2 linked regions of the Saccharomyces cerevisiae S288C genome follow. The gene in region 1 interacts genetically with each later gene. Each region holds a gene or a part of one and is shown on either strand. Other genes may lie near its edges.

What was found.
Region 2: mutations in PTP1 (region 1) and VPS501 together harm fitness more than expected from each alone (negative genetic interaction), as found in Saccharomyces cerevisiae (2 studies listed by BioGRID).

What each region holds. Positions count from the first base shown.
Region 1 is NC_001136.10:40,574-44,207, forward strand, and holds PTP1 (tyrosine protein phosphatase PTP1), read left to right. Parts: upstream 1-2,126; coding exon 2,127-3,134; downstream 3,135-3,634. Other genes in the region: BRE4 (Bre4p), read right to left, coding at 1-1,671; Hsp70 family ATPase SSB1, read left to right, coding at 3,492-3,634. UniProt on the Saccharomyces cerevisiae protein: Is not required for vegetative growth.
Region 2 is NC_001143.9:583,402-587,543, forward strand, and holds VPS501 (sorting nexin family protein), read left to right. Parts: upstream 1-1,550; coding exon 1,551-3,308; downstream 3,309-4,142. Other genes in the region: MSA2 (Msa2p), read left to right, coding at 252-1,343; TRZ1 (tRNase Z), read right to left, coding at 3,388-4,142.

The sequences.
Region 1 (3,634 bases):
TAGAAAAAGGAAAATATCGACAGACTCTTCGTCATTCAACAGTTCCTGTGAAAAAAAACTAGAATTCACAAAATCCCTGTAACAAACATCTAGTTTGTAAATTTTCCTCTTTAATTTAGAATGCGAGTGACTTAATATTTTGACACACTCATCTAAGTTGTTTTTTTGATTTGGAGACTCGTATTTCTTTAGTACTCTTGATAGATTTTCCAAAACGAAGATCATTTCCAGTATTAAGTTGAAGATGCTTTTCGAGAAGGACGCCTTTAATGCATTAATGTAGATTTCATTTTTTAAAAGCCCCGGACCGATAGGCTTAAAGGCACTGGGCGTGTTTTCTCTTGTTGGAATTCCTGAAGATTGAGGGCTAGCGCTTGCTTCTTTGCTCAGGGTCGCAGAATCCGATCTATACTTCTCCAATTCTTCATACATCTTTTTCAATTCATCATCATTAAAAATTTTGGGTGCAATGGGTAATACTCTCAGAGAAGTTTCCATGGCAGTTAAAGAATTTCTTAAACTCTTCAACGATTGAAGGTCAAACCTGGAAATTGTCAACTGATTTACAAAATCTCTAAAACCTTGAGATAAATCAATGTTTAGTGTTTTCACCATTTTTACTTGGGCTAGGTAAATTTGTTCTTTGGACTTTATTAATTCAGTATCTACTAGTGCCATTAAAAAGGTCTTTGTGGTCTGTAGACACTTGTTATAATGTTCCATTAACTCTGCATTGCCACTATGTGGTGATACACATACACAAACCAAGAGAGATAGCAAAAGGCCGAAGAGATATGAGATTCCAAAATCCCAAAAAATTTGCCACTTCAAATCAAACTTGGATGAGGCCAACCGAACTGTATGAGTGAATATAATCGATATCGAAAACGAAGTTGTGAAATAGAAGAACCGACGGTAAACAGACCTTAGCCAGATGGCAAATAAGAGGGCCATAGTCAGACTCTGAAATAAAATTCCTCCCTGGTAGTTTGCGGTCGGCTTTGTCGCTGTGGAAATGTACCATGCCAAAGCCGACCATCCCAGGCCAAAACTTGCGCCGATAATGGAGCTTATAGTCATTTCCAGTTGAACACCAATATTTCTGACCGGATGATGTATAAGTACTGCGATGGGTAGAAAATACCTGAACTCATGGCCAATCCACCTACCAGAAGGCCTGATAACGCAAATCACGATAGCAATGAAATAAGCAATAAAAAACTTGAATATGGATACCCCATTTTTTCTAATATCTCTAGGGAAATGAATAATGGGCCTGTAGATAGCAGTCCAAACATATTCGGAAAGCTTGGTAAAACCAGATTGCAGTTTTTTCCTTGCAGCGCCATTGTCGTCATCGATGTCGCTGTTAGGAGACCTAGCTTTGCTGTCCGGCTTGGTAAAAGCAGCATCAAAAAACCCATCTCTCAGCTCTTCCAGCCCAAAGTCCTCTACTTCCTCCCAGTGTTTGTCCTTAACCAAATTTTCCAGCCGCATTTGCGATAAGGATGCCACGGATTGTTGTGGGCTTCCTGCAAAGCTAAGCCCGCTTATACCGGCAGGATTCTTATAGTTAAGTTCATGTAGTGACCTGAGTGATGTTTGAGAGTATGAACCTTTCACAATATCAGGATCAGGAGTGGGACTTCGATCTCGCTCATATCTTTTCATGAGGACCTGTTACAATTCCAGCACTATACTGTACATGCTTTCCTTAGTGGAGCACAAAGCAAGTTAAAAATGAACTTTAAATTGATTAAAGTGTTAGTGACGCTTAAACTCGTTTTCCTGCGCGTATTTCACGCAATCTATACATAATCATCTTTGATAATGTTATATCGCCTTTCATTTCCAGATTTTGTTCACTGAAAAGTCTTATCGGAAACCTAACTTTGGGCGACAGGGTTATTGTTTATAATTTGTAGGTGTTCCATTTTTTTCTTTGTACTTTTTTAGGTTAACGTAATATTTAATTAGGTCATTTTTAGGGCGTTTAGTATTAGAAAAATTCATTTGTACACACTATTAAGAGGAAGGCAAACTATATTTACATTTTATTGAGGAAAAGGGTTCATCGAGGAGTTATCAAGAAAAGCGTTTGTTAGTAGTAGTTTGCGACAGTGGAGATGGCAGCTGCACCATGGTATATTAGACAGCGTGACACGGATTTATTGGGTAAATTCAAGTTCATACAGAATCAAGAAGACGGCAGATTAAGGGAAGCTACAAACGGAACGGTGAATTCACGATGGTCGTTGGGGGTCAGCATAGAACCTCGTAACGATGCTAGAAACAGATACGTTAACATTATGCCGTATGAGAGGAACCGCGTTCATTTGAAGACTCTATCCGGGAATGATTACATTAATGCCTCGTATGTCAAAGTGAACGTGCCAGGGCAGAGCATCGAACCGGGCTACTATATTGCTACTCAAGGTCCCACGCGTAAAACTTGGGATCAGTTTTGGCAAATGTGCTATCACAATTGTCCTTTAGACAATATTGTCATTGTGATGGTCACGCCTCTGGTAGAATACAATAGGGAGAAGTGCTACCAGTACTGGCCTCGCGGTGGTGTAGACGATACGGTTAGAATAGCATCAAAATGGGAAAGTCCGGGCGGCGCCAATGATATGACTCAATTTCCCTCTGATTTGAAAATAGAGTTTGTTAACGTACATAAGGTGAAGGACTATTATACGGTCACCGATATCAAACTCACACCCACGGACCCTCTTGTAGGACCTGTCAAAACTGTTCACCACTTTTACTTCGACCTTTGGAAAGATATGAACAAGCCAGAGGAAGTAGTACCCATAATGGAATTATGCGCTCACTCCCACAGCTTGAATTCCCGCGGGAACCCCATTATCGTACACTGTTCCGCAGGCGTGGGCAGAACGGGGACGTTCATTGCCCTAGATCATCTCATGCATGATACCTTGGATTTTAAAAATATTACAGAACGGTCAAGGCATTCAGACAGGGCTACAGAGGAGTACACACGGGACTTGATCGAACAGATCGTGTTACAGTTGCGCTCGCAAAGAATGAAAATGGTTCAGACAAAGGATCAGTTCCTATTTATCTACCATGCTGCCAAGTATCTTAACAGTCTTTCCGTGAACCAATAGACAGCTATATAAAAGTTCCTAATTGTGCATTTTTTCAATAACAATACTTATTCATCCTTATAATTATATTCTAGCTTCGTTGTCATGGGAACATAGCCCATACACCGCAGTTATTTATGATCATTTCGAACGGGAAGTATGGATGAATCTTTTTTTTTTTTTTTTTATAGCACGCAACTGAAAAAAAAAAAAAGAAAAATTTTTCATCTTCGCTCGACGTTTCTTTTGTAGTACTCATCTCTTTTTATATAAAGATTAATTAGTTATTGTCGCTTTGCTTTTCCTTCTTTAAAAAATGTTTCTTGCTTTTGGATTTTCAGATGTCCCAAGATCATTACAGTATTTTAATTGAACAAAATGGCTGAAGGTGTTTTCCAAGGTGCTATCGGTATCGATTTAGGTACAACCTACTCTTGTGTTGCTACTTACGAATCCTCCGTTGAAATTATTGCCAACGAACAAGGTAACAGAGTCACCCCATCTTTCGTTGCTTTCACTCC
Region 2 (4,142 bases), on another chromosome or scaffold:
GTAATTAAATAATCAAATGTCTATAATCTCCCTGAGTTGCCTCTTTTTCTATACTCAATTGGGTAATTGACGCGAAACGCGTTAAAGTGCAAAAAAAGGCCTGGAAATTATATTTAACGCAATGAAATATTTTCATAATATGACATTCATGCACAGCTGTATTCATTCTTCTACTTTGTAGTTTGTTATTCTTCTTTATCGGTTTCGTTTTACAAAAGATTTTAGCAAGGAAGCAGTTTTTAAACCAATCAATGGTATACACAACACCGCAACAACAGCAGAGATTCAGCTCCACACCGCAATCTAGCCACACTCTTATCTTCTCGCCAATCAGAGCCCCTTCAATGCAAACGCCCTCCTCATTGGATTACCAATCACCTTCAATTGTTGTGTCATCGTCTTCAATGAAGGTTCACGGCCGGTCTTCCAGTTTCGGTAAATTTTCACTGTCTATTGGGCAAAATGGTAAGGCTACAATACTGGGGCCTATAAACGTCCTTCCCACTGATACATCGAAAATGGAGAAACCTGTACCAAAGAAAAAGCCTGTTACTTCTGACCGTGTCGAAAAGACTCGTATATTATCTTTGTTGAAAAAAATGAGAAACAAGAGCAGTACTGTCAACAAAAAATATAGTAAAGTACCATTAAAGTCTACGACAAGTTTGCAACCAGCAGCTACTGCACCTTCACCACTAGTGTCCAACATCATAAAGCCGTCTCCCAAAAAGTTAGCTTCCCCAAGAACTCCGAATGCAAACTCCAATTTAAATCTAAACTTTACTTCATTTCAGATTAAAACAGGTTTCACTCCCAATCTCGATGGAATTTTACTTGAAAACTTCACGTCTCCTAACACAACCGCTGATTCACAGGGTAATTCCGCCAGTAACATCATAAATAATAATCACGGTAGCGCAAATAATACCAACCAATTTCTTTTTAATCTACCACTTCAATCATCACCAAGGCAATTCAGGTCTCCTGCAAGATTAATAGATCCCCTTCCCATATCGGACTGGAACACCAGTCTCTTGATGTCACCCCCAAGAACGACGAATTTTGAATCTGCAAACAATCACTTCAATTCAAATTTTGCTCAAGCATCGATGTTAAGACGCCCTTCACTACCGCACATAGATGAGGTGATTCCACAGGACTCTAATCCAGCCAATTACTCAGATAGATCGGACTATCTATCTGTGGACCAGAACGCCAATAATCATAATGGTGCACTTTCAGAACAGACCTATAATAATATAATGAAATCTTCTATGATTTCGTTACCTATAGAAAAAGATGATGCCACAATGGCACTACGAAAACTTGTCTCCAGAGAGTAGGTCCATTTGGTTTTCGTAAAATACACTACGTAAGATTTCATTATATATTCAAAACCGAAGAACTTTATTTAATTAATTCTATTCAATATTTTTTTTTTCCCATTAAATTGTGTAGTGGAAGCAAAATGCACTGCGCTTATGTGAAAAAGTTACACAATAGGGAATACATGGAACAGCAGATCAGAACTGCAACCCTACAGATTAGATATGGAGAACGACAAGGCGTCACATGCGAGCCCAAGCATTGGAGTGAACGAATTTGTCGTTCAAGGGGAGATATCCATAGACGACTCCGAAAGGTCTGTCAAGAGTGTTAGCGTTAGCATAAGTGATGATGAGGATAGTAAGACAGATGTACAAGATAATATGGCCACACCGTCCACAAGATCGAAATTTCAAACAGATCTGGCCATTGATAATAGGCTATTGGAAAAAGATCCAAAGTACAAAAAACTTTTCACTGAAAAAAGAAGACGTCGAAGACCAGAAAGCTGTATTAACCTCATGACTAAAGGTAAGGGCACTGGACAAAAAGATAACATTAATGATCAAATTTTCAGCCTAAGAATATTACCAGGCTCCGATTTAAACTCTTTAAAGGATTCTTTATGGATAATAAAGATCTCTACCCAGCCAGATGTTGAAAAAACAATCGCAAGAGCTTTTTCTGATTTCTATTGGTTATATCATCAATTACAAAATAACCACTGGGGAAAAACGATTCCTCCGCCTACAAGGTCCAACATTCTTGTAGAGAAGGACGAATTTGCCATAAATCATCTTTTTATGATACGTAATAATGAGAAGTATGATCCAATTTTTAATTTCAAACCGGAATATATCATATCATTGCAATTGATGGCAATGATTAAGCACATATTCAATGACAAGGTTTTACGTTTGGATTCAAATTTCATAGATTTTATTAGTTGGGATGACGATCTTCCTGAAAGTTTGCAAATAGTAGTCGATGACAGTACCTTCACAGGGGATAAAATACTAATGACATCTTCTCAATTTCGAGAATTAAAAGAGTTTCATAAACAATCAAAAAAAGTGGAATCAATAACAAATTCACATGCTTCGTTAATACCCGTAACAGAACTTACCGAAATATATATAAGCCCGACCAAATTATTCTCTAGAAAAGACTACCAAAGGCTTTTTCAACCTCAAAGCACAGACAACACCTTTAATAACAATGACCCGTTGATTCAAGAGTGGATACCAAAAAGCAAAACATTATTCACTAGTTTATCCTTTGGTTCAAGTGCACCTACTTATCAAGAAGCGTCAACTGAGATACAGGCATGCCATGACTGGGTAAGCATATCCAAGGAGCAATGGAAACAGTTACTCTACCATGTATTACAGTACATTGTAGACGAGGCAGTGAAGGTGAATTCTGTGATAAACGAATTTACTGAGTGTCTTAAGCAAATTTCTTTGGACGAAGTCATTAGAGCAAACTCTGAACTATTTTTGAAATTTTCCAAACTGAATGAATCCTTTCTAAAAAAATTCAAAGGTGCATCGAGGCAAGACATTCTGAAGCTAATCATATTATTTGATGAAAATGTAAGATTTTGCGAATCATTTGAATCCATCTTAAATCAAAGATTGAAGCTTGGTAAAATTCTAAGCATCATAGAAGTGGATCTAGACAAGAAGAAAAACTTTCTTGACAAACTATCTCCGGGAAACAACAACAGTAACAATGAAGACCTTAAGATACGCACGGCAGAGGATGAATACCGCATTGTATTAAAAAGATATAACCGTGTTAAGCAGAGCTGGGAGAAAATTATGGAAGATATCTTAAATGAACGGAAAGAATTTGAGAAGAGAGAAGCCGCCGAGGTTAATAGTTGTTTAAAATCAATAAGAGATTTGAACATGGATGAAAAGAAACACTATTTACAATTATGGCAAGACTTTGTACCAGATGAGCACATAAGCCAATGAATATGTACATAATAACGTAATTAAAGAAGATAATTTACTACTGAAAAAGCAACAATATAAGAAGTTAAGATGAATTATACTAATTTTTCTTGTGTTTCTTAAGTTTGACTTCCAAATCTTGTACGCTTTCAACGTCATCAACATCTTCTTCTTCTTCCTTTTCTTCAACAAATGCCTTATTCAGCAGTGGAAAAATACGCTGCTGTTCACCAATTTTCTCATAATCAACGATCATACTGTCGAAAGCAAAACAAAATTCTCTCGCCATCACATCAATATTATTGTCTAATTGGGGCAATTTGGGATATCTCTGGGAAAAGTGTGTTAAGATCAACTTCCTAGCATTCATTTTGTTCGAAACACCGATTGCTTCATTAATAGTGCAGTGTTTTTTCTTCACGGCATCCTCCAGTAGCTGATTTTCTAGTGTAGCTTCGTGAATTAATAGATCTGAATTATAGCCTATTTCGAGGGAAAATTTCTCGATGTTAGGTCTTGTATCGCCTGAATATGAAACCTTGAATGTATTATGCTCATTGTTTTCGTCCATTCGGAAGGTAATTGAGTTCGAATATGCCCAGTCACAATGTATAGCTCTGCAAGTTTGAAAATATTCTATCGATAAATCCTCATACATTTGTCTGATCAAGTCAACATCCCTATATGAAGAATCTCTATCCAGTTCCAGTTTTCTGTTTGATTCTTGATTGCTATTTTCTTTCAATATTTCATTGAACTCTGCCAAAGGAACAGATTGTGTCTGCATTCTTACAAACGAATCATTGATGAAATGCTCACAACTTATGTATTTGATTCTCTTTAAAATCTCTTTAT